Linked DNA regions of Arabidopsis thaliana. The protein of the gene in region 2 interacts with the protein of the main gene of each other region in a pairwise test. Each region holds a gene or a part of one and is shown on either strand. Other genes may lie near its edges. The genes, in order: AT1G66420 and AT5G60142.

What was found.
Region 1: the proteins of AT5G60142 (region 2) and AT1G66420 interact in binary tests that used the Arabidopsis thaliana proteins (3 or more experiments, as listed by UniProt).

The regions. Positions count from the first base shown.
Region 1 is NC_003070.9:24,775,161-24,778,831, forward strand, and holds AT1G66420 (DNA-binding storekeeper protein-related transcriptional regulator), read left to right. Parts: upstream 1-2,023; coding exon 2,024-2,872; downstream 2,873-3,671. Other genes in the region: CAM4 (calmodulin 4), read right to left, coding at 352-381, 550-625; AT1G66430 (pfkB-like carbohydrate kinase family protein), read left to right, coding at 3,240-3,390, 3,610-3,671.
Region 2 is NC_003076.8:24,215,595-24,219,523, forward strand, and holds AT5G60142 (AP2/B3-like transcriptional factor family protein), read right to left. Parts: upstream 2,156-3,929; 5' UTR 1,998-2,155; coding exon 1,985-1,997; intron 1,871-1,984; coding exon 1,800-1,870; intron 1,759-1,799; exon of another isoform or gene 1,720-1,758; coding exon 1,101-1,719; coding exon of another isoform or gene 1,075-1,100; exon of another isoform or gene 1,015-1,074; coding exon 923-1,014; intron 832-922; coding exon 586-831; 3' UTR 353-585; downstream 1-352. Other genes in the region: AT5G60150 (uncharacterized protein), read left to right, coding at 2,617-2,791, 2,969-3,166, 3,264-3,517, 3,638-3,720, 3,824-3,929.

The DNA.
Region 1 (3,671 bases), on a different chromosome or scaffold from region 2:
CAAAAAAAAGCCACTAATCAACCAAAAACATGACCATTAAATGAATCTCATAAAAACACTAGAATCTGAATATCTTTGGCTATGGAAAAAGCATGACAGGTGCTAAAACTAAACAGTATCTTTGAACTGAAATCTATAGCAATATACCTACTTAAACTACAGAAGAATGACACAAAAAGACGATTCAGAACAAGAATCAGGAACATGATATTCTGCACAAAGCTAGTAACATTTCAATATAAGTCACCTTCAAAGAAACATCAAAATCACAAATCCATGCTTAGAGATGGAACAAAACTACATCAAAAGAGACAATCAAACGATTCAATCAACAACGAAGTAACAATTCACCACACGAATCACCTGAATCAGAGATCGAATCTAGCAAAACCAGAGATTAGACCAAATCCAAAGCGTATCAAAGAATCAGACTCAAATATTTTCTGAATCTGAAGCTGATCGCAGACGAAATCGGAAAAAATGAGATCCGTTATGGTTTTAACAACGATCAAGAGAGATTTAAAAGAAGAAGATGAGATTGAGACTAACCATCTCCATCTTTGTCGAAGAGGCTAAAAGCTTCCTTAAACTCAGAGATCTGTTCATCAGTTAGCTGATCCGCCATAGCTTCTTCTTCTCGTTTCTTTGGTTTTTCGTTTCAGAGAAGAAATGATTTTTTTTTTTCCTGAAGTCTCCGAAGCTGTGAAAATATCTTAGCGACCGACAAAAACAATTATACGACAATGAGGAAAAAGTTAAAACGAAATTAAATGTTTACGGAAGATAATAATAATAATTTACTAGTTGGGTTTTTAGCTAATCATGTGATTAGTGGATGTGGGACTTGAGAGGAAGCCCAAAGGGCCCTTGGATACACATTAAGGCTTAAAAATGTTTTAATAAAACAATTTACATATTTAAAAAGTAATGATTTTTCAATTTTGAATGATAAATAAGACAATCCTCAATAATACAATAGTACTTAAGTTTTAAGCTGTAAGTTTTCCAAAATTACCATTGTTTTATTATTCAGATCATCATTTTATTTGACATCCCTGAAAAGCAAATATTTACTTTTGAGTTTAAAATAAAATTGTGTTTACTTAAAAACAGTTTTATCCTAAAGAGTAAAGACCTAATCTTATAGTAAAAGTTGACATTACTTACTGTATAATAAAAAAAGGATTGAACTAGTAGTTTCTAAAGATAGGAACAAAACAACTGTTCAATTTTCTTCAGATGAAGATTAAAATCTGTTATTATTTTAAATCTCGGGGACTACAAAATTTACCTCCAAATCTATGATTTACTAAAAACAAAATTAGTTAAGCCAACATTTTAACTAACCTAATACTATCATTTGAACACTTATAGGTATGTTAACTGATTTCAAAATTATCTATATACATCTTTTGTAATGGCATGTTTTCCATCAATGTGTGTGAACATTGAAAACATAAACTGTTGAATATCTAAGGTCATCTCCATTGGTAAGAAACCTTCAAAGTTTCTCAAAAAAAAAAATTACTAATATTTTATTATGACTTAATTTTGTAATTAATATATTCTTTTCTTTTTTTCAGTTGTCTAATTACTTCAAAATTTCTCTGCACAGAAACGTTTCTGTAATTATGTTATTCTCTCTCCTCCTTTATGAATTGTTTATATTATATTAGTGAAAAGCAACTCTCAAAATTGTAACCGATGGAGATGATCTAACCTATTTACCAAAAACAATTCAGACAAAATTTATTTTCGGTTTAGTCGTTTTTTTTCGTTTTCTTAATTTCAAAATAATTTACTGGGAAAAGAAAAAATCATCATTACGCTCATGTGAAAAAAGATCGTTCATTGTATGGGTTTTGGAAGTTAGAAAAGTAAGCAAGCAACTTATACCCTATTGGCCATTATATCTACCGAGAAACAACAAGCTCTTTAATTTATAAATTCGTGTAGTTGCCTTAAACAAACCCCAAGCTTTCATTACACACCACAACCAAAATCGTAGTTTGAAGATTCTGATATGTCAAAGAAGCATCTCAAGCCGTTGGAGACATGTTTTGAAGATGAAGAAGATGATGTTATTTATCTTCCTCCAGGTCTTGTGACCGGTGCAACTTCCAAGAAGAATGAGGAGTTTTGTGGCGGCTCCGGCAAGGTACAACCGTCTGAGATGAAGCGTCGGAGTGAAGGGACCTCAACGGACATGACTTCGAAGAGAGCCAAGAAGGTTTCAGCAGAAGATGAGAAGAAAGTTGGAGAATGGACAAAAAACCCATATTTTCAAAGACTGTGGAGTGAGGAAGATGAGATTGTTATGCTACAAGGAATTATTAAATTTGAAGATGTTACAGGGAAAAGTCCGTTTGAGGATAGACACGGGTTTATAGAATTCGTCAAGAACTCCATTAGCTTCGAGGCTAGTGTGCAACAATACATTGGCAAGATTAGCCAATTGAAGAGGAAATATACGAGGAAAAGGAAGAACGGTTTTTCTGAAGGTCATGAACAGAAATGTTTCAAACTGGCCATGTCTATTTGGGGAACTAAAGAAACGTCTAAGAAGACGGACTTGTGCTCTTCACCTAAAGGTAAAAAAGTTAAAGAAGAAGATGGAGATGTGACAAACTCTGATTGGTTTGAGAATTCGTTTCTACTTCCATCAATTGAGAGTCTTGGTGTGGATTCGGTTAAACGTAAATGGAATGTTGTGCCTATGGAGTTTAAGAAGAAAATTGAAGAGAGGTTGGAGTTGTTGGAGGCTGATGAAAGTGAATGCAAGAAAATGGAAGAGATGTTGAAGGTTAAAAATAGCGAATGCGTGAAACAAAAGACTAACCTTTTGAATGAGGTGATCGATGTGATGACTTGAGATTTTAGATATGAAGTTTAATGTTTTCTAGTGGTTTATCTTATGACTCTTTTATGTTGGATTATTTCTTTATATATCTTAGCATAAAAAAAGTTCATTTTGGTAGAAAACAGAGAAAAAAGGATTAATTAGTAATTACGCAATCTAATCAAATTTTAAAACTTGTGATTATGTTAATAGCGCTATAATTAAAAACTCTGATCCGTTTAAAATGAAAATGACTTTTCAGATTTCCTTTGGTTGCTCCGCTACTTCTCACTGTCGCTCTCTCAGCTTCCTCTCTCACAATCATAAAATAAAAAACAAAAAGTAGCTTCTCCAAGACGCGGTTCCCAATATCTGCGTTTCCCGTTTGCGTTTTCCGGCAATGGCTCTCCAAGCCACTACTACTACGTTCTGCTTCTCCGGTCCAACTTTCCGATCAACTCCTCACTCACTCACTTCAAAACGTCCTATCTCCATCAAAGCTACTACTTCTTCTCCTTCAAGACTCTCCAATTCACGATCTAATCTCAAAGGTTAAATCTCAAATAATTTCTCCATCACATTTTGGTTTTCTTTACCATAAATTCTCATAAAATGTTGAAATTGCAGAATATGCTTGGTTTATGCATTAATCTTATAGAATTTGTATTTTTGTATATTATATAGTCTTTGTACATGAAATTGTATATAGTTGTTGAGAAAGAGAATTTTGCTTTGTACTGATTCATACAATTTGTGTTCTGTTTTTAAAGGAAGAGCATTGTCTAGTGATGGTTCAACACAAGAATCTCCTTATGTAGTCTGTTTTGGAGAA
Region 2 (3,929 bases):
CCAAGGTATCGCTAAGGCCCAAACAAAAAACAAGAAATGGGCCTTAAGTTTGGTTCAATCTATATCGTGTAAATGACATTATCGTCCTTAAACAAAAGAACCACAGTAAAGAGTCGAGAAGGGTATATTAGAGAAAGAAGGACTTGTGACATCTCAATTCTTGAACAAGAAACTTGAAACTTGAAAGAAGAATGAGATAGTGTTAAGTGGCAGAGTTCCAAGTATCTTAGTATTATTCTCCTCCTATGCCAATGCTTTTCTTATGATCACATAGAGAGTAATAACATTCTTTTTACATGAACTCGCAGGTTTTAAACAGCCCTGATGTGTGAACCATTCATAATGATTTCTCCCAAAATCTATAGCTCTAGTATACATTATTATTGTAAGACTGTGTTGATCGTCTTTTGCACTTCATGTTTCAGACAAACAAACAAAATCAAGAAGTGTATAGAAAGCATCAACATCGATTATGTTCCGAGAAAACCAATAAGATTCATAAAACCAAGTACTCTACTCATATAAAAACTCTCAAGTAAAAATAGATAATGTCTTGGAGTTAACGCATAAAGCCTTATCAAGAGATCATCCTCTTATAACATGGACCTTGATTTCTCGAACAAGACCATCCATCTCCTTTTCTAACTCACAAATCACCTTGTCATTCAACTTCACATTATTCCTTCTGATTATACTACGGAATCCCTTGATTGTTTGACCCTTAACTTTCCTCTTCAATTTACCAAAGTTTTTCTCGAGTGGATCAATCAAATTGATGAACTCAGGGAAGTGTAAGCCATACTTCGTTATGACCTTAGTTGGTATGCGCAGCTGCATTACAAAGATAACATCATAAAACAGAAGTGGTACATTATTTTAATGAAAATGCAAAAAGACATGAGACTTTCTTCACATTTCTTACCATATTATATTTTATTTGCCGATGCTGGTTCACTGTAAAGAAAGGGTTCATGTGATTATCCAGATATTGTCTGTCATGCTCTCCAGAAGAACCTATCAAAATTTATACGCAAGAAAATAAAAAGACAGTGATGCTCTCAGTCTCAGTTAACTTCACAAGACAAAAGTTTCTATTATACCTTTCTTTTTTTTCTCTGTTTTGACTCCTCTCCATCTTTCTTTCTCAACATCAGCATGATCATCGTCACCATAATCTTGATCATCATCATCATCATCATCATCAATAACTATGATATCTTCACTAGATGTATCTTCCTCAACATAATCTTGAACATCATTAATATCATCATTATCAGCATCATCAAGAGCTGTAATATCTTCACTAGATGTATCTTCCTCATTATAATCTTGAACATCACTAATATCATCATCATCAAGAACTATGAAATTTTCACTAGATTTAACTTCTTCCCCATAATCTTGATCATCATTAAAACCATCATCATTGTCATCAAGAACCGTGATTTGCACTGAACTTCTAAGCCTTTTACACGTTGCACGACCATAGATACAGAAATTGAAACACCAAGAGCCATCAAACTCAAATTCTAAGAACTCTCCACCTTTCAAATCTTCGTCCTTGACTATCTTCTTCCACCCATTAACCATAACAAATCTCTCACTATCACCACAAAACTTCCTAAACGCCACTTTCCAGATGTTTCCATAAATGCTTCTAACAATTACATTTTTAGGCAACGACTTTGGTAAAAAGCTGTTGAAAGAGATGGGTAATTCCTGAAGAGGAAGGATCTAAAAGTTTCAATAAACTAAAAATCTACATATAACCAAAAACAGAGAGAGAAGTGTATTTTTACCAAATCATCTCCGGAATCATCAGGTAAGTACACTTTGAAGAACTTTGGAAGACAATCATCCACAGAAATTCCTGTTCCAAAGCAAGAAAAAAATCAGAACATAGGATAGGTTATGTGATTGGAGAATCAAGAACAAACAATAGCATAAAGATCTTAACATAAAAACAAGAGTCTAAAGAAGAAACCTCTGTTCATCATCTTCACCTCTTTGAAACCCTAACTCTTTTAGTGAAAGTGAAGGTGAAAATGGTTCTTGAAAATAGAAAAGTAAAAGAGCTTTGTTAATAGATCTCCGATCTTTTGGTTTGCTTTAGAGATTTTGCCTTTTGTAGCATAACACAGAGACTGTATTGTCTTCTAGGCTTATTGCTACAAATGGAAAAATAAAACATGTGCTAACTACTTTTACTTCAATGCTCCATGAACCGAACCGATATGATTTTAATCAAACCGAAAAAATATTATCCTAACCAAACCAAACCAATAAAGGGTGAACGAGAATTTAAAATTCAAATAAATGGGCTTTAAAGTCCGGCCCAATCGATTTGCTTTAAATGACAATAATAACCTGAGATTATAGAGAACGTTGGTCCGATCTTCTTTCAATTTCAAGTTTTTCAACCTCTTCCCGCTTACGAGGCCGGGATATTCTATCAACAGTCGTCTCTTCCATCGGCCGAACAATTTCCGATTTACCGACTAGGATTTTCGCCTACAACTTCCGAAGAGATTTTCTCAGTGTAAGTTTGAAAAAACCTAGCTATAGGATTCCGGATTTCCTAATCGTCAGATCTTGGGCTCGAAAGAGAAGCTAGAAATGGATAAGGATCTCTTAGATATCTCTGGAGAAGACGACGAAGATAATTGGCTTCTGAAGAATACGCCGAAGAAAACTAATTCGAGCCGAGGAAAGAGTTATTTGAAATGCTCACCTCTCCAAATCCCTAGATCTAGTCGTATCGTTCCTACTCGGCCTCCTTTTTCCCCAATTGGTAAGCGCTTCAATTTCTCGTTCTCGATCCGAGCTTCGTTCTGATAATTTCTCTCTCCCTTTGTTAGAGTGTTTAAGCATCTGAATTAGCATTGTTTAAATCTTAATTTGATAAAATAGCAAATTAGTATAAATGTTGTGTATTCTGCGGATATATGAAGGTTAATACTTTTTGCAGGAAGAGTAACAGGCACCAGCAACAACAGGGAGCAGCCATGCGCTTCAGTTGATACAGATAGTGTAGGAAAGGAGAATGCTAAAGTTGAATTGCCCAAATTGAGTGTGGAGCGACAACAGATGAAGAAGAAGAAAAAGAATGCAGGGTTTAATTTGCGCAAGAGTTTAGCATGGGATAGAGCTTTTTCAACGGAAGAAGGTGACTTTTTTTTACCAATTTCCTGTTAGTAGTAAAGGTCAAAGATTTGGTCTATGTTACTAAGAATCTTAAGATGTGTGATATGGTCATGAACCAGGTGTTTTGGATTCATCTGAGTTATCTAAAATAACTGGAACTGCTTGCCATCTTGGTGGAGATCGGTTAGCTGCCATTCAGGAAGAGTACAGAGAGTCAATGTCAGCTTCCAAATGTAATGTTTCACCAGGACTACAAGCACTTGAAGAAAACTTATTTAACGACTTGCCTGTGAATAGTAAAAACAGAGAGAAGAAGCTTGTCAGTGGCATAATGCCCAAGTACGGATCACCATCTAAATCCCAATCTTCCTCGGTGAGTTTACTGGACCTAAATATTGTGGAGCTAATGAGGGTCATAAGTCGTTTCTTTCCTTGCGTAAATATATATATTTTGAGGCGCAGTCTATCTAAATGTCGAATATCTGCATTATAGGCCCAGAAAAAAGTTATCTCAGCTCAGGATTTAAGGAGTGGTTCCAAGCGCAGTGGCTGTCCCCGGCCTCCTCCTTCATCTTCATATCCTTTTCTTACTTTGAGTACTGAGTGTATAGGCAATCTTGATATCCTTTGCAGGTCTTGTTTGTGTTCTTTTTGCTTGTTTACCTTAACCATCTTGCACCCTGAAAAGACCTGCAAATGTGCATACAACAACATCACGTTGCAGGGAGCTGAGCATATCTAAAGTTCCTACTACCAAATCTGACCCAGTTACAGTTGGAAACAAC